Linked DNA regions of Mus musculus. The protein of the gene in region 1 interacts with the protein of each later gene in a biochemical or structural test. Links are inferred from orthologs where the notes say so. Each region holds a gene or a part of one and is shown on either strand. Other genes may lie near its edges.

Region 1 (7,476 bases):
ATTGCCATTAATCTCAAGGTGGCTGTAATCAAGCTTCAGGGAACACTGAGAGCACCATTCCTCGCTGTCAGTAGCCTTTGTTACGTGGCAGTCATCCACCTTTCCATGGTCAAGGGGAAGAAAGAAGGAGCACACAAGGAAAAGAGGTACTTCTCTGTAGGAAGATTTGGCCTTGGAGTCTGGGCTTTTGAGATGCCCTACTGATCTGTGGTCGATGCCGTTTTATTTTCTTTCGGGAATAAATCTGAGCAATGGAATGGCTTACGATTGTTCAGCCAACCAGCCATATCAGATTTATCAGAGAGAAAGAATGAAAACTGGCTTAGGGAACTCCTGCAGAGGCTGAGTGGCAGGTTGCTGGGAAAGACACACACAAAATGAATACACTTAGTGGTGGAAGGGGAAAAATATATATTCACATGTGCCTAAACTCAATAAATAATACGTAAGGAATCATAGTAATGGAAAGGGTGAGTGTGTAAGACAGATGATAAATAGCACTTCTATTTAAGAACCAAAGAGATGAAAGCTCATGAATACTAAATATTTGAATCCACTCTGAGGAGGAAATATGATTTTTCTATCAAGTGAATGCAAACTGTAAAAAATCAGCCAATGCAAACACTATGTTCAGGTTAGAATAAAAAAATACATAAATCTTCCAGCACATGAAAGCCTCAGTAAACATTCTGATGTAATTTCCTAATTAAGACACATTTCCAAAGAGTAAAGGAAATATATATGTATATGTGTATATATATATATATATATATATATATATTTCTGTAAGTGCTTGATTTTCAAGACATTTGACTTTTTGTGCATGCATGATTAAAATAAAGGCAGTTGAGTTAAAGAGAAAAACCAGGAATGAGGACAGGAGCAGAGTTATTCCACTTCATCTCAACCATAGAAACTTGCCGTGTTTTCAAGTAATTTGAAGCTACCATGCGAGGTATTCATCTATTTTGAAGTATTCAGAATGAAAAACCATGTTCTTCTGTAAAGCTAGCTTGTACAAATGCATGCTTTTCAAAAATTAAAGGAACAAAGGGGGAGAGCGTACCCATGGTTGTGACCATTGCAAAGGCACTCTGAAAAAAAAAGATTGATGCATTTTTTTAAAAATCTGTGTAATATTTTTCTCATTAAGTTTCATTAATAATATTTCTTAAATGTAGAATACCACTGAAAGATTGGGGGAGGGGAATAATAAGCCGTAAGTGTATAGACTATGTGTGCACTTTAGATAAAAAGCAGGGGAACTAAGTAGCTTGCACATGAGAAGAAAAATGATCTTGTCCACCACATATTAAGACTTGGGAGAATGTCACTTCAACACAACTGTATATTTTTATTTCAGTTACAAAAGCGATATTGATAAGTTCCACCACAGAAAGAAGGAAACATTGTAGAATTATTCCTCCAGGTGGAATTGCCATATAAAGGCCCTTGATCAAAACATTTATAGATAACATTTATCACCGGTAATCAGACATAAATTTCTTGAAATTATTTTTAAATACTCAAAAAGCTGACTATTTCCTCCTCCAGCAAAAGAACAACCAAGTTTTCTTGCGTACAATTTTCCCAAGAAACGTCTTGATGATCGTACAAGAGAAACACCCACTATATGTTTTTATTCCGTTCACACACAGCAGTAAATAAGGTGCATTCCTTCTGCTTAAGAAATTAGCATTTCAAAAATCTGCCACTTTCCCCTGAACTCCAAGCGTGTCTAATAATGCGAAAAGCAGATTGTCTTCCCTCGTTTCCTTAATTTGTTTCATCTAAAAGCAATTCACTCAACATCTTGTCGCCCTCTGGCAGCCTAGTTTACTTATCCGCACTTAATTTCTCATTTGGACCAAAACAAACTCCTCCAAACTGCTGCTGACTGCTAACCGCGAGAGAGGAGACGCGCGCTATGTATTTACTTGGATAGACAGCCACACACATGCACAGCCGCAAACAGAGCCTCACTCTCACCAGACAGCGACTTGTTTTGATAATAGCACTACATTAAAACCAGCTGAACTTTCTCTGTCAGGTGTGGTGGAGGCGCCTGGAAAAAAAGAAGAAGCCCTTGGGGGCACAGACAGTTTCCAATAGATCACCTAAGTATGCTTGTTGCAATTATACCGAGGATACACCCGAGAGCTTTTCTTTGTGCGGCCCTTTCATCTAGATCACTTTGTGTTTTGAACAAGTGAGGCTCTCTTTTGTGCCCCTAGAATTTCAAGTACAGAGTCACACACGAAACAACAATGGCACGCTAATCCTCCTGCTTCTAAATGGGCTCACTTGTGGGTCTGACAATTCGCCCAGGGAAAAGAGCAGAGGGAGCTGGGCGCAGGCTGGTGTCCTCTGAGACGCGGAAGGGGACAGCTGCAGAACTAATTTGGATTACATTCCTTGCCTAAATTCTGAAAAGGGCTTTTCGGCATAGCCCCAACCGGGAGCTGCAGAGTTAATACCAAATTGCTGTGGACTTGAAGCGGGGATCCCCCCAGCGGCCCGGGCCACGCCAGACAGCTCCCTGGTAGGGTGGCCTGATAGAAATTCCTCTCGGCTAAGCCTGCATGACAGTGGCAAGTGTTTTTGAATGGGTCAATGTGCATAATCAACCCATTGAGGGGAAAGGCAAAGGGCTCCGAGTCGGGGGCTAGAAAGGGATGTATCTAGGCGGCCGCCTGGAATCTCAAGTCCTTGCTGCTGCTCTGATTCCAGAGGTGGCTGGAGCGCAGGATCTGGTATGCAGGAAGAATTTCAGAGTCACTGGGAGTATGCAAACGGCCAGCACAAATGGCGCACATGTGCCATTCGAAGGTCATTTTGAACCGCTCAGAGATTGTAACTTGTTATTTACTAGGCGAGGAGGAAGAGGCGGGAGCGGGGGCGGAGCGGGAAAACTAGCAAGCTGCAGCTTTCTCGGTGAGGTCAGAAGGACACCCTCTAGGGACCTAAAGCTCTCCCTGTCGCCACTCCTGAATGTTTTATCTTCTCAAGCTGACGCCCACGTTCCCGCCACCAGCCCCGGAAGGTTCCGGAAATCTCTCTGCCTTCTCCAAAAGCCCTCTTCTCTCCCCTCTGGGCCAGGTCAGACACACAGATTCTCCTTAGTCCTTTCGCGTCCCCTCCTCTCATCCCCGGGGTAACTCCCAAGAGTCAAGAAACTTTGAGCTCCTCTACATCGCAGCTGCTGTCATTGGCTCTGGCGGCCCCAGCACGACAGCGACACTGTTTCTCTCGGGGTCAATTAGTCCTTTTTCTGTCCAAATACCTGGGGCTTGGGCGATCCAGCCAACAGTGGCAGCGCTCAGGACGCCGCCACCCGGCCCGCCTCGGGCTAAGTCAGTGAGCGCCACCCGCGAGCTCTGCAGCCCGGCAGGGCAGTAAACAGAAGTTTAGGCCAACCCCAAGTTGCACTACTGGAAGAACTCTTCCCAGAGCCAAGTCCAGCATGGGGAGGGAAGGCCGAGCTCTGGACTCAGTATGCCAGGCTCTTTTAGAGAGAGAGAGAGAGAGAGAGAGAGAGAGAGAGAGAGAGAGAGAGAGAGAGAGAGAGAGAGAGAGAGAGAGAGAGAGAGAGAGATCATGCTGGCTGAAGAGTCGCACGCCCAACACACACACACACACACACCCTCTTTCTCGCCCCAAGTCAATCTCAAGACAGCCTAGAGATGCCAACTAAGAAGGCCCAGAGTCCCTGGCCCCCGGCCGAGGCGCGCACCCGGTGCGCTCCAGCTGCCCGGATAGGGCTGGGCGTCCGGTGTGACCCCGCAGGCTACTGGAGACTCGGGCCAGGGACCCTGCGCCAGCATGCTCAGGTGCCAAGCCCGGCTCCCCGGCCGCGCTCCGCCGCAGCCCTGCACCCCGGGGAAGGCCAGCCAGGCTCAGCTCAGGAACCTCCTGGCAGCCCGAAGAGGTGCAGCGATTCTCCGGTTTGGTTTGATTCCCCCCCCCCCCCTTCCCAGCTCGAGAAGGAGGGAACCTCCACTGACGGGCTCAGGTCTCCCACGCCCCGAACAACGGGCGCCACCAGAAGCGATCCCGCTTAGGCTCCCAGAAAACGCGCGAGAAAGAAAGAAGGGGGCTAAAGAGAGGGCGAGAGGGGGGACAATAATATAGAGGGTGGCAGGAAAGCGAAGTCATTTGTAGCATCAATTAAAAACACACGCACGCACACACAAAGGTAAGTTTGGGATGGAGCTAGGGGCGACCCAAGGCAGAAGCCCGGTCCCTAGGGTCCCTGGAGCCTAAGGGTGACAGAGGGGCGAGGGAGAAGGGAAACACCGGAGGCAGTGGCGGGTTCAACAGCTGGAGCGCGACCGGGAACCGCGAGACCGCGACCCACCTGACTGAGAAGCGCTGGGCTGGACGGTCCCCGCTGCCATCAGAAGGCTCCCCCAGACCCAGAGTCCCGTCGCCAGCTTCATTTTTGGCAAGTCTCAGATCCCGCGCTGACAATTACATGTCCAAATACCATAGCCACTTGCGAGCACGCGGAGGAGATCTCCCCCCCTCAGCCGGGAGCGCGTGGGGGGCGCAAGGGGGGCGGGCGCGGCGCGCTTGGTGCACGGGCTTCCCGGGGCCGGAGAGCCAGTCGGCGACGGCGGCGGCTTCCAGGACCCGTGGACCCGCGGACCCGGCAAGGGGCCGCGGAGGAGGGCGCGCGGGTGGGAGTGAGCGCGACTGTGCGGCTGGTGCTCCGAGCACAACGTACAGCTAGTTCCCGGAGTGATCCTCCGCTCGCTCGTTCCCTCCTCACTTTCTCGCTCGCTCGCTCGCTCTCCTCACTGGTTGGTCAACAATAAAAAGAAAGAGGGAATAAAGGCTTCCAAAAAAAGTTGATTGCAAAGAGGCGGCGGGGTTCCGGCCTCTCCCCCCAAAACCGGGCTATGTTCAGCTCTCTCTTCAGTCTCCTTGCACCTCCTGTCCAAATCTGGAGGGAAAAGGAGGGGGTGTTGCTTCTTTGCTTCTCCCCGATCCTGTCCCCCTTTTTTTCCACTGTCAGCTTTCCTCACACTTGTCCAGCCATTGCAGTAATTAAAGCTCCGAACGTCATTTCCAACGCTCCGCGGTCTCCAGCCGCAGCCCCACAGAGAAATTAATAAGAGTCAGAAGAAAGATTTTTGAAAAAGAAAAGAAAAGAAAAGAAAGAAAAAAAAGAGGGGAGTGGGGGGTGGGAATCAAACAACCCTCCACACAACCAGCCAGGCTTTCCTCCGCTGCGCAAGCCCCGCCCCTGCTCTGACCCATGTAGCCACGCCCTCCCCCTAAGGAGAAATCTTATTGGCTCAGACACTCCCCAAAATCCTCTGCCTCTAGAGTTGGAAAAACACCTGTCAGACAGTGGGAGCAGCAGGGTCATGGTAGGAGCTTGGGGAAGCAGGATCTGAGAAGCTCAGTGGAGACCACTGTCTGAAACGCTCCCCTTGGGGCTGCCCCGGCAGAGGCCCTGGACAGCTGGCCCGCTGAGTAGTCAGTCCACCAGAAGGAATGCTTGCTGAACGAATTTTTTGACACAAGAACAGGGCATTTTCTTTATTGCTCCAAGGTGTCAGTCCATACACAGAACCTTCCCTAGAAATAGAAAGTCAACGTTGCTTTGGGAATAAAATATCTTTGTCCCTCGCCATCACCCAGAATATTCCATACTTAGCATACTTAGTACTTTAGAATGGATATTGTAGGTAGCTGGTAGCCTCGCAGGTAAGATGAAATCTTCCAATAGTTTTTTTTTTCCAAATAAGCCATCTCTCCCACCTTCCCAAGATGACATTGGGCCAAACTTAAAAATCCATATTTGTGAAACCACATTCTTTGATTCTGAAATTATGCAAACTCTCTCGTCTGTGCTGTTCGGTCTGAAGGTGTTTAGGAGGTGAGATCTTAGCTGACCTTCGAGCCGTTAGGGCCACGCCATAGCAGGGCCAGCTTGAGGCCCTGCACTTGCCCTCTTTGCAGGGTGTGTGCTTCCAAGGTCATCAACCGCTGTACGACTAAGTTTCTCTAAGTCTAAAATGCCCTGGAAGGGATTACTGTAGTCTGAGAGGCCACAGGTCTAAAACTGCTCTATGCTGGGGCCAGAACCTGTAGTGAGTCAGAGGATACTCCTTTGCTATGTGTACAGCTATTCTATGAAGGCATTTTCTATGCTTGCTCTCAAAGCAGTGACTAAATATATACAAAAAAAAAAAAAGCAAGGGTGCTTTAAAACCAAACCACCCTACTTCCTCGGTCACTATTGGAGTCCTTCCCCATCTCCCACATCTTCTGACTATGATCCCATCCCTTAAGAATTCCCAGGCAGCTGAAAACAGCAGTAGCAGAAGCCTGAAGCTTGAAGCCTTTCCTTGGCCCCACAGTGTGTAACAGGCCCACTGCAGGTCAAACAAACTGCGTGTGCTTTTTATCCAGAAGCAGCCCAGGGCAGAGAAAAAATGGATCCCCAGAGCCAGAGAAGGGGCCTTGACTAGAATGGCACTGACTACAGAAGCACATGCACCGGGCTTGGGAGTTATCTCTATTTTCGTCTTTATCTCATTTCTTCCTTTCATTTAACACAATCTCGGCCCAGTTTACCTGTCTTCCATCAGCTTATGATTACTTTCAGATACGTTTTCTCCGTAAAAGCTGCTCATTTTTACATCTGCCACCACAATAACAATTTCAGTGACAAAACAAGCTACTTCTAGGGGACTGGAGGGAGTTTCAGCTCCTACATTTTGTTGGAGTCCAGTTTCTGGTGACAGTTATTTTTGAAAAGGGAAGAAATTATAATAGCTAAATTATAACTCCTGTTATGAGAAAAAGATTGGATGTGTAAATATCTCGTGTTGTTTTCTAGATGTGCCTATTATGAGGATTTCTTTGTCTTCATTTACCTGAAGAGAGACTGAGAGTATAGTACCTGGCATGCATGAAACCCTTAGTTCAAGTCTTAGTACTCAAAAATAATAACTCCTATCCTGCCATTGCTGCAGATCTTTATATATTGCTGCAGGACCTCTATATGTGTTCTTACTTCACCTACATTTTCCAGACTAATTCTTAGCAGAAGAGGACTTTTAGTTACAATCATAGATGTCACCATCTCCATAGAGCTGACTTTCACCAATTACGTTGCCAAGGTACCTATAATTTGTATCTAAATCTCAGTTGGGTTTGTCTTGACCTATATTTTCCTGGTTCTTACTGAATCAAACAGTAATTGACCTGGCCATGGGTTGACATTTGACCAACAGCTTTCGAGCCTACAAACTGGACATAAAAGTTGTAACTTATAGAAGCATGCCATATTCAATAGGGACAAATCTTATATTTTAAAGCCTAGCTTAGATCATTTCAATCAGAAACAGACATGTATAGAGGAACATGGTATCCTGAGTGGGGCCATAAAGATTAAAACAGAATATAAAAGAATTATTATTTTATATGTCTGCTCTCATCAGCTTCCCATGTCTGCTGAAT
Region 2 (7,287 bases), on another chromosome or scaffold:
CTTAGTAGAGTGAAAACATGAAAAGTCTTATTATCTTCTGAAAAAATCCTCCAGTTTTAGAATCCTAACATAGATACTCTACCCTCAGGCAATGAAAAAGAATGGTATATTTTGTTTCATGTTTTGTCTTTTATTCTACCAAAGATAGAGAACTTTTCCAGAGTCCTTGAAGACGTGGATAATTCTAGTATTTATAAAATAAGATCTCAAGACAAGGCAGTCAACTGGGCTTGGGAGTAAGAGAGTCGATGATAAAGCTATGTCTGCCACTCGTCCAGTTTCTGGGGCTCCAGGATGAAGAAGAATCAATTAGCCCTGCACAGACAATGACCTTGAAGGCTAGAGCTCTGCGCTTGAGATGCTGACTATGCTGAGACAGAAGAAAAGGGGGAAAGGGACGGTGCCGTCTTGAAACCATGGCCGAGCTTGTTTCAGAGCCAATCATGTCACTTGAAAACCAAGGCCATGATGGCAAAGCCCATGTCAAACCTGCACAGCGAAGAAGAAAGTCCAGTTCTTTCTACAACTAAACTGAACGTTCTCAACCAACCCAGATGAAAAAGCAGACAAGACAAGGGCCCCAGGCTAAGCATTGTCTTCTCCTTCACTTAATGACCACAGCCTTTCTAAACAACAGAAAAGCAACCAACGGCAGGTCTGCAAATCAACATTCCTGGACTCACCAAGCCTCACCTGACGGATGCTGAGTCTTGCTAAGTCCAAAAAGGTAAGACTTTCACATAGAGAACCCCGCAGGTCTAGAGCTTTAATCAACTGTCTTCCCCACCACCACCACCCCAGCCCCCCAACTTTTCAAGAGAAAACTGCTTCACAGACATTGTGCTGGACACATTTCAGAATACTGCAGCTGCGCTCAGGCCAGAGGTGGCTTCTGCAGAGGCTTTTAAGCAGCAGTAAATCTTCCCTACTTATTGCTAATGCCATAAAAATCAATGCCTTGGCTAGGAAAAGAAAAAGGACACACACAGAGAGAGACAGAGACAGAAAGACAGAGAGACAGAGAGACAGACAGATTGGGTGGGTTGGGTTGGAATATATAGCCTATAAAAACACTTAGTAGAATTTCCTTTCAAAATCAATTTCTCAAAAGTTCTGAGGGCTTTCTAATGGGGACCTACTTCAGGGACATGTGCTGTCTGTTTCTTTTGTCTGTTCACATCAGATGACAAAATTGCAGTTGGTCTGGAAGAGTTTCTCAAAGAGCTACCTCCTCAGTTTTTCTGGGCACTTCAACCAATGCGTGCATATCTCAGCTGAAGCTTTTTCTGTTGAAAACAATAAAGACAAAGAGGTAACCTTGTCGGCCTGCGTGGAGAATGCTGCCTCTCTGCAGGAACTGCACTTGCTTTTTATAGCCCATCATTTCATCTGGGGATTATTTCCCGGTCACTTTGCCAGGTGGGGAGAGGCGGCAAAGGCAGAGAGTCTGTCAGATTTTTAATGATGCTTTAGGGATTTGATGGAAGATGCAAAGTGGTATCTGCATACAGGAGGCTCTCCCAATTACACCTGGAAACGAAACGCAGGCATCCTTTTGAAGTCTTTACACTGAAGCTGGAAGATGTCAAACAACCTTGAATGGAGTGCACATATCAAGTTTGTTTGTTTTTTTTTTTCCTGAGTTTCCCTAGCATAGTGCACAACTTCATTCTAAACAGCACTGCATGGAGGAGGTCTTATTTACTCTTCCTTACGGTCTAGAGGGAAAACTGAAGAGGCGCTTTATTATAAACTCTCTACCCTCAGCTCCTTCTAACACTAAAGTGTTTCACATGCATTGTTGAGAATCAAATTCTCTCATATCTTAGGGGTTTTTTTTCCTACTAAGTAAACTCATCGATGGTAATAAGAAAGAGTGGGAAAGACAGGAACTGAAAACACTAAAAACATTTCTTTAAATATTGTAACCAAAAGACCCAGCTCAGTGCTGACATTTGGGACAATCTGGCTAGTCATCATCTCATGGCTGTCAACTTTCCATCATAAAGCTAAGGCAATGACCTCTGCACACACCAGTGTTTCATTCTGGATTGTTTTAATAGCGTGGAGTCTTTTCCCACACAAGTTATTAAGCCAGGCTTTGGCAACAAGATGGGGTTAAATGACACACGTTCAAAAAAAAGAAAGAGGTACCTTGTTAACGACTGGGCAGGAATGTACTTAAATGCTTGATTACAGAAGACAAAACTCATTTAGGAAAATCCTTCTGTGGAAAACTGCAGTCTGTCTTGAACAAAATACAAACTGCCTCTGGTCAGTTCTCAGTAACCAAATGTATGTACGGCACAGGTCTGAGGACAGCAGAGGGAGGACTGTGTCTTTCAGACTTGCTGCAGTATCAGAATCAAACAATGACAATTCAGACGTGCAGAGATGTACTAAAGAGGCAGGAAGAAGAGCTGGAGAAAGATGACAGGCAGCTTGGGGCTCCGGGGAAACAGAATGGGAAGAAGAAAGTCGAAAGAAACTCTACTGAATGGCAGGCGCAATACCAAATAATACTTATTGGCACACCGACGTTACATGCCTATTAAAATATGAAGGACAGTCAGATATTAACTTCTAAAACTATAGCAAATCAATTGACCTTAGCTTACATCCAAAGCCCAACTTCAAAGATGCTTGTAGTTCTTAATTGACAACCTCAGACTTAACAACCTGGCTACATGGAGTTGCTGTTAAAAGACCTGATTCATCCTAGGAGTTTATAAAATTGCTTTATTTTGTTTTTTTTTCCCTGTCACGTGATTCACCAAATAAAACCTCCCGGTTAAAATGCAAACTCAAAGGAAAAAGCTAACCCTCTAGAGTTTGCCTTCTGGAAGTTCCCTCCCACCCTTTCTTTTAAGCCACCATCGCCTTTCTTTCTCTCACTACTTACAAAGTTTAGGAGCAGTTTGCAGATTAGTTTCTGTTGTTTGTGGCTGAGTTCCTGACTTGGGTGTTCTCACCTCAGGGGTCCGAGCTGGAGAAGGGAAGGGCGGTGGAGTGGAGTGTAAGGGAGGAAAAGCAGACAGCCGGTTCTTCCGGGTGGGTACTGCGGAAGGTTCAGAGGCCACAGCGACATGGTCACCTTGCCCTGTAACATGAGCCTCGGCTTCAGACTGAGCCTTAGAGACAGGTGAAGTGTATGCCTCGGATGAGACCAGAACAGCGGAGGCAGCCGTTGGATCCAGAGAAATAACAGGGTCCTGGCCTAACCCCCCAGGGTCAAGGTGGGTAGGAGAGTCGTATTCGAATATCTTGTCCACAAATACCCACTTTAGGCCAGCAATGCAGAGGCAGAGGCTTACTAGACAAGCCAGAATGGGAACAATGCAGATCTTCTCGGAGTTGAGGCACCCTCTGAGACGCTCCGCTTCCAGGCAGACACAGCAGGGCACGGCCAGGCCCAGGAGTCCAGGGCTTCTCCCATCTTCTGTGTGGGTGTCTGGCATATGTTCCGCTGCCGGAAGCCCATCGAGAGATGGGTCTGCACTCAGCTGAGTGGAGGGGCTGGAGGACCTCCCGCCAGCTCCCTCAGACATGTCTGGGGGATAAATCTCCATCCGGATCACCTCCAGAAGGCCCGGCCTCTCTCACAGTGCATTACCATGCAGAGCTCCCCCCAACCAAATGATACAGCATCTTGAAGGGGGAAATCGATAAGGCACCCAAGTCCAAGGCCATTATCCAAAGTAAGAGAGCTTAAGAGGAAGCAAGAAAAAGATAAAAAAAAAAAAAAAGGAAAAAAAAAAAAAGAAAAAGAAACGAAAAAGGAAGGGCTTCTAGCAACTATGAAATAGAAGTGTACCGAAATATCTTGAGCTGTTGTTTCTGGGACACTTTTTCAGTTCTTTCAAAGGCTTCTCCAAACCATCCCGGTTGGTTCAAGAAGGCAGGGGACCAAAAGAGGAAGCAAGCTGATGCCTAGCTGATTAAGTAAACCAGTATCCCAAACTGAAAGGCATGTTTCTCACCTCAAGCGTCTGAAGCTGGTGTCTGCTTAGAGGAAGAAAACAACTGTCATGCAGGAGAAGTAAAAGCAAAAGCAAGACCAGAGGAGGCGGCGGCAGCAGCAGCGGCGGCGGCAGGAGGGGCAGCAGCGACAGTAGCAACAGCATCCTGTCGTGTTAACGCAGCGGCTGAAAGAGGCTGAATCATTACAGAGCAGCAGGTGCCTGCCCTCTGAGCATCACGGCAAACAGTACCATTGCACAAGGATGCGAGGGCAGGAGGAGCCAGGAGGGGCGGTAACTCCCTTCCCCGCCCTGCCTCCACCCCCACCCCCAACCACTCCTCTTTGTCCTTCTTGCGCTCAGTCACTTTTTCCTCTGCAATCTTCCTTCTTCATAGCTTCTTTCTCTTCTTCCCTCCTCCTCCTCCTAAAGATATATTCTCTCTCTCTCTCTCTCTCTCTCTCTCTCTCTCTCTCTCTCTCTCTCTCTCTCTCTCTCTCTCTCTCTCTCTCTCTCTCTCTCTCTCTCTCTCTCTCTCTCCCTCTCCCTCCCTCCCTCCCTCCCTCCCTCCCTCCCCTGTGCCCCGCACCCCCAGTCCCCACTCTACTGCTAGCTGGTCTCTAATAAGTACAGTATACCCAGCAACGCAGGTCCGCCAGTGAGTTCCTATTTTATCCAATTACAAGGAATAAAGGCCAGAGAAAAGAGAAGCAGCCGGGAACCAGCTAAACTGGGTCTCCCCCGGCCTCCTCCCCCCCCCCCCCTTCTAATTTCCCTCTACCAAAGCAGGCCCCAGTCTCCCATCCCACACTCCACCTTGCTTGCTTTCAGTCTTGCTGGCTCTCTCCTCTTCACCCACTGTGGGGTCAGAAAAAGCCAGGGATCGATGATGCTAGCAATCTAACAAAGCTGGGATGGAGGGGGATGGGGTGGGGGGTGGAGGTGGGGACCTTCTGGGTTAGACCTGAGGCTTGGCAAAGTCTGATCTCTGACTCCTCCCCAGAGAGGTAGGCTTTTCAACAGCAATTTCTTCCTGCCTGCTGTTCAGCGGCATTCCTTCCTTCCGTAGCCAGTTCTCTAATAAGTTTTGTTCACTAACAGGACTCTTATTACCCGGTTTTCAACCAGCAGTTAGAGCACTGTTTCTAAACCATGGACAGCTCTGCCTTCTTCCTTCAGCCACCTTCTTGTGGCTAAAGACTTTTTCAATGCTCAGAGCGAAATGCTGAGTGTGTGCGGGGGCGGGGCGGGGTGTGAGGGGGGGTGGGGGAAGGGGAAAAGTCCCGAGTGTCTTCCTGCTCTTTACATTTGAGTCCTCCTTATTCCATCCAGAGTAAGCTAGAATAATGTCAACCTAAGAGGAACACTTACGCTATCTACCGCTTCATTTTCAAATTAGCCTTTCATGTTGACTCCACACTGCAGAGGAGGCTTGAATTCCCTGGGCACTGTAATACACACCACATCTCCTCAGCTATAATCGCACTGCCAGTATTGAGAATTTTCAATCAGAGCGTGCCTTGTGGATTAGGTTTCAGAAACTGTGATTTACAGATAGCTTCCATGCTGATTTTTGTTTGTTTGTTTGTTTGTTTGTTTGTTTAGAAACAGGACTTGAAGTACTGGAAGAAATGGAAGAAACTCACTGTAAGAGAGAGCACAGGCTCCAGGGAACATTCCGTGGTGTTCCAGTGTCTGTCTGTGCATCTGAACATTTAAGCCACTCTTCCAAGGAACCAAATGACTTCCAAGGAACTGTGTCCATAGGGGAACTCTTACAAACTCTCTCGAAATCCAGACAACATCGTCATCCCATGCAGACCCAGGGCAGTGACAGGCAATGCTCAACTCTTAAGAAAATCTGCAATTCATTTTATGCAGGACAATTCTACTGTTTTTGAAGTATATTTATTTAAGCCTTTTCACATGCCAGGAGGTAAGAATATTATAATTTCCTTCCAGATGAAATTACTCCACAATTATGAATGATTCAAAGAGCATTAGTATCTTAAACTATGTTTTCTGTCCTACCACTGCCACCAACAAAAGCCTGGCTGGATTTGCATGATTGCAACCAGGATTATGACAAGCTCACAGGCACAAATGAGTCATCGGAAGTTCACCTCTACACAACCTGCATGTGTATGCACCAGTATTTTGAAATGGTTCATGTGATCATTTTCTCGCTTCATTTACTTGATTTTGAGAAAATGAGAGTTTTCTTAACAAAGATTCTAGTGATGGACATGAAGTTTTTTAGAGCGAGAAATCCAAATACCAAATACCAAAGCACTTGATGCTTAAGATTTTAGTTGCCAATATTTATGTAAATTTTCAAATAAAAATAGCATCTTGACATACTCAAGGATTATAGTTTCCTCATGGATTACCATGTCTGCTTTCAAACCTTACATTCAAGGACTGAACAGGGAGCTTATCCATAGCCAAGGTCATTTAAATGTCAAGGACTGGGTGGAATCAGGTAGCTACAAGCCTGGCAGGTGTGAGGGAACACCAAGGACATAACCCTCAGCTCTGAAAAGGTGTTATGTCACTCCCACCGATAGCAATTACCTGCTTTACCTCAGTCACAGAAAAGGCTGCTGGCTCATTCTCTAGTTGTCATATTAACCTTAATCACAGGGAAGGTGGCTGCCGAATCAAGCTGTCTTATTTAAAACCCTTGTCACTTACAAGGAAAATGATCCTGTTACCCACAGGCTAGGACAAAACACCAAAGAGGGACTAGACTCCTAGGACTGTAACAACTATCCTAGGGATCAGATTACAAGAGTCAGACTTTAGGATGTATGCCCCCCTCCTTGGATGTGCATCTTGTGAACTTTGTGGCTCCTATTAGCATGCAGAAATCCTATAAAACCATTATGTTTTGCTATTCTTTTCTATTAAATAAGAAAAAGAATGGAAGTGGAAAAGGGAGGACAGAAGGGGGGAAAAAGGAATTCTCCATTACTTCTCCCCTGGGGACAGGTGCCAGAAGCTGCCTGTCACCTCCCTCAGATCCCTTTCAGCAATAAAGTATGAGGAAGCCAGCATCGGTGGGGCTACCACCCCACACTTCTTGGGAAGCAACATATTTGTTTATAGGGAGAGCTTCAAGGGCAGACCATTGTTAACCCTGTGAAGTCCACCTTAATGAAACCCAGGAACACCCATTCCCATGTGCTCTTAGAAACATGAAATAAGACAAAAATCTTACTGCTTTTTAAAACCCTATAATTACCACCTCCTTCATAACCATAAAAGCTATGTTTATTGAGCTCCACCTATGTGCCAGGAACTCTCAAGTTCATAACATACATTATGT
Region 3 (7,276 bases), about 87 Mb from region 1:
TTTCTAAAAACATTTCTGGCAAAGCAAATTATTCTAACTGCTTACTCATATTAATGATGAAAAATTGCCATTCTTGGCTAAAGAAAAAAAATCATGAACTCTTGATAAACTTTCTAAAATACATAAAATATGTAACTTACATTAAAATCTGTATGTAGAGCCAGTAAGACAGTTTAACAAGCAAAAGCAGCCAGGCGTGGTGGCACTCTTGGGAGGCAGAGGCAGGTGGATTTCTGAGTTCGAGGCCAGCCTGGTCTACAGAGTGAGTTCCAGGACAGCCAGGGCTACACAGAGAAACCCTGTCTCAAAAAAACAAAACAAAACAAAACAAAAAAAAAAAAAAAACAAGCAAAAGCAATCGCTGTGCAACCCTGATGACATGTGTTCAATCCAGGACCCAGGACAAGAGAGAAAAGTCCCAAAAACTGTTCCCTGCTCTCTATGCACACCTGCACTCAAACACAAGTGCACACACACACTGCCTCCCTACAAAATATATAAATGTGTGTGTGTGTATATTGTGTGTATATATATGTGTGTGTGTGTGTGTATACATGCAGGCGCATACGCGCGCGCACACACGCACACACACACACACACATACACACACAATAATAATAATAAAATTTAAAATATAAATCTACACATAAAGTCAAGGACCTATTACACTTTTAAGATTTATTTTTATTTAGTGTGCATGCATTAGAGGATGCTGGAGGAAGTCAGAAGGCATCAAATGCCCTGGAGTTGGAGTTACAAGCAGTCATGAGCCACCCAGAATGGGTTTCAGGAATCAAACTCAGGTCCTCTGCAAGAGCAGCAAGCTCTCAACTACTCAGACACCTCTCCAGCGCCACACCAGAGCTTTTAGTTATGGACTTATATGCTAATAATTCAATATACTCAAGGCAGTGATTTCTTTTTCCAGTTTTTTGAGACAGCTTTGCTACATGGGCCCTTTTGGTCTGCTACTCACTACACACCCCTAGGCTAACCTGAAATACACAGCAATCCATCTGCCTCAGCTTTCCCAGGCTGGGATTACAGGATGCAGTAGGAAAAGGATAGTGATATATGTGTTATTTTCATAATCTAGACTATTTTTCACAATCATGACAAGTGTGTACTTCCTACGTAGATCAGGCTGGCCTCAAATTCAGAGTGTGTCTAAGCCGCAGGCATCTGTCTTGAAAACAGTATAGGAGGCTACAGGCAGGGCTTTGGACAGGGTAGGCAAGCGCCTGACCACTGAGCCACCTCCCTAGTCCTCTAGTTTGTCTCCTTAGGTACAAGCAAAAATGTCTCCACATTTCCTACCCCCGCCTCTCTGGTAGGCCAGGTTATCCTTTGTGGATCACTTCTGTTAGAATGTGGTAGACTTTGAATTGAATGACTATATTAACTAAATTCCAGAGTCCTCCTTGTGCTGGATGCCTGGGCTCGTGGGAGAGCACCGGTCTAGCTTAGATGAGGCCCTCAAGTTTAATCCCCTGGAGCACCCGTGCGCCCCCCCCCCAAATTAAAAAGGATTTACTGTATTTCTTCCAGTTTTTATTAATTTTTTTACACTAGTCTTGGGCTACCATATTCACATCCTATCCATCAGCTTTTAACTTTCAACTTTGTCAATAAAATCGTTATTATCCCAGTTACCCAGGTTGAAAACCTTCATGGTAATTTTAACACATCCTCATTTTTTATAATTAGAATACTGGTGAAAACAGGTAAGACCAGGTTGGCCCTGAACTCTTTTTTTTTTTTTTTTTTTTTTGGTTTTTCGAGACAGGGTTTCTCTGTGTAGCCCTGGCTGTCCTGGAACTCACTTTGTAGACCAGGCTGGTCTCGAACTCAGAAATTCGCCTGCCTCTGCCTTCCAAGTGCTGGGATGTGCACTACCACGCCCGGTGGCCCTGAACTCTTAAGAGACCCTTCTGTCTCTGTCTCCCAAGTGCTGATATTAAAGTTGCGTACTATTATACTTGCCCCAAACTGAATTCATATGTGCAAGAATGCTGTTAACCAGTCCTGAGAACCTGGGTTCAGTTACCAGCACCCACAGAGCAGCTCACAACCATCAATCTACAGGAAGAGACCTAACGCCCTCCTCCTTGCCTATACGGCATCAGGTATGTATATGTACATGCAGCAAAACACACACACATGTAAAATTACATTTTGCTTTTACAAATTAAAAAAGGAAAAGGGAAACAAAATTTGTCTATTCCTAAGTCCAAATGCAGAACTCGGACACAACTCACCCAGCAGCTACAAGTCTTGGGATCATCTCTTTGCATGCTATCGTCACTTCCTTTGAAACGCCCTTTCCCGTGACTAGTCTACACTTCTTCTCCTTCCCTTTCCCCGAGCTATGTGCAGCGGGACAGTTTATCCTTCACTTCACTCCTGTACATATTATCAATGAAACCAGCTTGCTACCTCTGCTAGCCGGTCCTTCCTACAGATATTACATCTCCATCACCAGCCTCTCAGGTCTTAGGATGGCTTCTGATATTTTTCTCCTTCTCTATTCTGCCCTCCTCTAGAACAATGCTCTTAAAAATGGTCAACAACACACTATGGAAGAACAAAAGAATCCACTTGGCATCAAGGGGAAAAAATATTCATTCATTCTTCTTCTTCTTCTTCTTCTTCTTCTTCTTCTTCTTCGATACTGGGGCTTGAACTCAGGCCTCACATAAGCTGTGTACACTGTCACTAATTTACAAGGCTCTATACTTAATTTTCCTCATGGCACCCTTTCTTATACTCTATTTCTGACCGTTGATTACATTATTTGTTAATTACTATAACCTTGTCTATATTAATAAAGACACACAAATTAAGAGTATGTGCTCAAAATTTGTATTTACTAGAGTTCAGGCACTTGCCCCCAAGCCTGATAAAGAGTTTAATACCTGGGAGAAATGACTCCCCAAGTTGTCTCCTGACCTCTGCATACATGGGTGTGTGCGCACATACACATACACACAAAATAAATATAATTTTAAATAGTTTAGAAACAGCCCTTCTGAAGAATATGACACCGAGTAAGTCCCAGACTATGCGGAGCACATATGTATACACCAATGCAGCTCAAAGAAAAACTCATGTTCAGACCACATGGAAGGAAGCCCTAACCATGCCCACCCATCGACAGCCCCGCCAGCCATCTCAGAATCCTGTGTCCTACTCGGATAGGCAGAACAGGGTGGTTTGGCAAAGCCTTTCATTTCTAGTTTGGAGAAAATACTCTGTTGAAAGTAAAAAGATACGGAAAAGGGTTTCACAGTTCACCATTCTGACACTGCTCACCGCCTGGTTCATAAAGCACATACCGAATATGCCACCACAATCTCTTAAAGATTCAGTACCTATTTCCCAATTCCTCAGGGCACGACTCGTTCCCGTCGTTCACAACCGGTTTATCCTCCCACCTCCTGAACCTGAGCTCATACCTGCCTTCATCCTTCCCTCCCTGGGGATACCATCCACAGTTCCACAGTCGCCCCGTCCTGTCCCAGGATAGCAGGACAGTCAAGCCTGGGTCCCTAAGACCCCGGTTCGTGCTCGCCGCCGCCGCCGCCCCCAGACGCTGCCAGCCAGGCGGGGGGAGGGGTGTGCCTCGCCTCCCGTGACTGGCCCAGATGGCAGCCGATTCCGCCCCCACTCGCGGGCACCCCTCCAGCCCTCGCCCCCCGAAGGCTGCCCATCCGCCTCGCACCTCGCCCCGACCCCACCCCACCCCTCCCCGGCCTCCCTCATGCCCTCCACCGGCTCCGGACACACTCACCGTGCTGGGTGAAGACGTTGAAGCCGGCGTCTGCGGTACGCCCCGCCGGGTCCCGCCTGCGGCCCGAGGGCCTGGCTGCGCTGCTGCCCCGGATCCCGCGCGGCTGCGGCTGCTGGAGCCCCGGAGCCTCCCCGACGCGGCCCACCTGCTGCCCCATCCCGCCGCTCGCGTACTCCCGCGCCCCCGCCGACCCTTGCTCACATTCCTCCTCTGCTCCGGCCTCCGGAGCTCCTGGCGCCGCTCCGGTCTCTCCGGCCCAAGCCCAGGCCCTCTGGGCCGGAGTTGCCGGCGGCTCCCACGCGGACTCCTCGGAGCCGCTGCCGCGCTGCCTCCCAGCGACTCACAGACTCTCCTTCTCCCTCCCCCTCCGGCGGCTCCTCGCCCCAGCCGCCGCCGCCATCTTTAAACCACCGAGCACAGGGCGAGCGTGGGACAGAGCGTCTCCCGCCCCCCTCTCGCCCAAGCACCTCCGCTACTCGGTGGGCGGAGCTCGGCGGAGCCCCGCCCCGCGCCGCGCCCCGCTGGGTGGAAGCCGGGGCCCACAGGGTCAGCGAAGCTTTCGAGGGCCCTCGAGTGCTTTTACTGCTACCTTCACCCACGTTCGGCTCCACACACTGCCCCACTTGGAGGACTGTGGGCGCCCGGCCTTTCCCGTCCCACCTCCACCTGTCAAATCAGAAGAGGCTGAGAAGCCACCACGTGCGCCGCGCAGCTCAGCACCAAACAGCTGAGGCTCCTGATCCCTGGGCTTCGCTGCCATTCAATTGAGGAGCCCTTCACACACACTTAGCATTGGGCCCAGAATGAAGTTTGGAATGGTACAGAATTCACGGGGAGATGGTCAAGTGCGGGGTTAACTTAATTCGGTGAATTATTTCTTGATGTGCACTTTGCCGTCTTATTGGCAAAGCGGTTAGAACTCAATTCTTCATACTACCGTGGATTTCTCTTGAACTCTTCCACCATCGACCTACCCGCATGTGTTTCTGTTTACTTTAAAACGCCTGGTGGGGCGCTGGTGAGATGGCTCAGTGATTAAGAGCGCCGACTGCTCTTCCTAAAGGTCCCGAGTTCAAATCCCAGCAACCACATGGTGGCTCACAACCATCTGTAACAAAATCTGATGCCTTCTTCTGGAGTGTCTGAAGTCAGCTACAGTGTACTAACATATAATAAATAAATGAATCTTTAAAATAAATAAATAAATAAAATGCCTGACAGTAAAGCGACTCTTCTCACAGACATGCTTTCCTCTCAGTGCAGGTTGGGCCCTCCTTTTTGGCAAGGAAAAGATAAATCACTTTGACCTTGTTTCTGAGTCAAAACTTACTCATCTTCACCGTCTGGGGTCTAAATAGAGAAATGGACAGAAGAGAAGCTATTTTTATAGATGTACACCCTATGTGCCATGAGGACTGGAGCCATTGCTTAAACCAAGGAAAACCACCCTGGGGAAGAAAAGAATTAGCAAAATAGATATAATTCCCCATACATGTCTTTTGTAGAATGGTGTAAGATCACAAGTGCATGTGGGTGAGACTCAAACTCAGGACCTTGAGTTCCAGGTGAGTGCTCTACCACTTGCTACTACCGCCCCCCACTCCAGCTGATTTTGATATTCACTATTAAAGAGCCTTAGGAGCTGGGGAAAGATGGGTTAATGACAAAGAAGACTTGCACTGCAAGCCTGACCACCTGAACTTGCTGCCTAGGACCCACACAAGCAGCTACTGGTCATAGAGAAAAGCCAGATGCACCAGCCCAAGCTCTGTGATCCCAGCTGGTCCACAAGAAGGGGGGAGGCAGAGATAAGGGGGTCTCCAGAAACCTGGCTTACATGTGCAGTGGCTAAGGGACCCTGTCTTAAAAGAAGCAAGAACTGACAGTAAAAGTTGTCCTGTGACCGGCACGCACACACATGTGCCCACACTAAGAACACTCTAAGTTATTTCATCGCCACCCAGGGTACAGCCAGAGACAACGGAATTTAGTTCCCATTGAAAAGAAGCACTACACTTTAGCACTGGATGGAATATGAATTTTCATTTATATCAAAGTCTATCTGTATTTAAAATACCCTTTTTTCCCCTGAGTGTCATGTTGTACCACTATTATAATAGATCCAGAGACAGTTGGATCACAAATTCAAGGCTAGACTAAAGTGCATCGTAAGAGCCTGTCTGAGAACAAAAGTGGCCACACACCTCGATGTTATGCTATGGGCTTGTACTCGCACTGCTAAGAAAGCTGAAACAGGGAGACACTTGACTTGAGGCCGAGAATCTGAGTGAGACCAACCTGTGTGGCATAGCAAGACGCTGCCCCAAATACTATTTATTTTCTTTTCATTCACAAAGTGGTTACAGTTACTGAAGAGATTAATTCACAAAACACAAAGATGATCATAGAAGTAGGATTTGTTTTTATTGTTTGTTCTTTTTTATTTACCCGTGGAATTTCAACTTGGTGACAACAGTTTGGTTTCTCTGCTAATTCGTGAATGATGGACAGTAATTGCTGTGTAGAACAGTGCTGTGGTTAAGGGCAGGGACTCTGAAATTAGAAGGCTTAAACTCAAAACTTAGCTCTAGCAGAACAGGGATAGTTATATGCCTGCAACCCCAGAAGCTCTGAAGGCTGGAACCAGAAATCAAGCCATCCCAGGATAGATAGCAAAACCTTTTATAAAAACAAGCATGAAAGTAAAAAGAAAAAAAAAAAGAAAAGAAAAGAGGGAAGGAGAGAGGGCAGGAGGAAAAGCATATTTGTTGTAAAAGAAAAAAACCGTCTGTGGTGGCACAAACATCCAGGCAGATGCAAAGCCTCATGTAAATATATACTATTATTCACACACACACTCAAAATATAAGGCAGAGGAGGAAGATTCAGAAGTTCGAGGCCAACCTTGTCTCAAATAAACAAAAAACAGTAAAGCAAAAGCAACAGAGCAGTGCTTGTAGAGTCCGTTTACATAGATTCTCCAACGACAGTGGATTCTCTAGTTCTGTCTTCTCCTTGTTTACAGAGATTCCCCAATGACAGTGGATCCTCTAGTTCTGTCTTCTCCTTTCTGGTTATGTTTTAATACAGTTTTTTATTACCGAGAATGTCCTATGTATACACATGTATTTTGATCATATCCTCCCACTTCTCAGCCCTTCCTCTGCCCTTGTCCCTGAGTGTGGACAACCAACCTACCAATGGGCACATCCCCAAAGAGAACCACTCTCCCACCCCAGCAGCCACCAACTATTAATAACCTCTCAGCTAGAAGTGGGGCCTCATGAGCGCCTCCTCAATTCATGCTGGAATTTTGGCTTGCTTGATTTGTGTGTGTGTGTATGATTTATTTATTCACTTTACATCCCAATTGCTCCCCTCCTCTACTCCCAGTCCCACCCTTAAAAGTCCCTCTCTCCATTACTCCCTCCCCTTCTCTGAGGAGAAGGGGAAGCCCTCACTCGGGTACCACCCCACCCTGGGACA

What was found. The genes of interacting proteins can lie anywhere in the genome.
Region 2: the proteins of Erbb4 (region 1) and Nrg1 form a complex in vitro, tested with the Homo sapiens proteins (2 studies listed by BioGRID and IntAct, with this or other methods). The link is inferred for Mus musculus from reciprocal best matches to the Homo sapiens genes ERBB4 and NRG1.
Region 3: the proteins of Erbb4 (region 1) and Abl2 form a complex in vitro, tested with the Homo sapiens proteins (2 studies listed by BioGRID and IntAct, with this or other methods). The link is inferred for Mus musculus from reciprocal best matches to the Homo sapiens genes ERBB4 and ABL2.

What each region holds. Positions count from the first base shown.
Region 1 is NC_000067.6:69,103,318-69,110,793, forward strand, and holds the start of Erbb4 (receptor tyrosine-protein kinase erbB-4 precursor), read right to left. Parts: upstream 4,743-7,476; 5' UTR 4,440-4,742; coding exon 4,358-4,439; intron 1-4,357. UniProt on the Homo sapiens protein: Tyrosine-protein kinase that plays an essential role as cell surface receptor for neuregulins and EGF family members and regulates development of the heart, the central nervous system and the mammary gland, gene transcription, cell proliferation, differentiation, migration and apoptosis.
Region 2 is NC_000074.6:31,914,635-31,921,921, forward strand, and holds the start of Nrg1 (pro-neuregulin-1, membrane-bound isoform), read right to left. Parts: upstream 4,210-7,287; 5' UTR 3,570-4,209; coding exon 2,903-3,569; intron 2,869-2,902; exon of another isoform or gene 2,155-2,868; intron 1,287-2,154; exon of another isoform or gene 1,140-1,286; intron 1-1,139. UniProt on the Homo sapiens protein: Direct ligand for ERBB3 and ERBB4 tyrosine kinase receptors. Concomitantly recruits ERBB1 and ERBB2 coreceptors, resulting in ligand-stimulated tyrosine phosphorylation and activation of the ERBB receptors.
Region 3 is NC_000067.6:156,555,720-156,562,995, reverse strand, and holds the start of Abl2 (tyrosine-protein kinase ABL2), read right to left. Parts: upstream 4,210-7,276; 5' UTR 3,948-4,209; coding exon 3,791-3,947; intron 1-3,790. UniProt on the Homo sapiens protein: Non-receptor tyrosine-protein kinase that plays an ABL1-overlapping role in key processes linked to cell growth and survival such as cytoskeleton remodeling in response to extracellular stimuli, cell motility and adhesion and receptor endocytosis.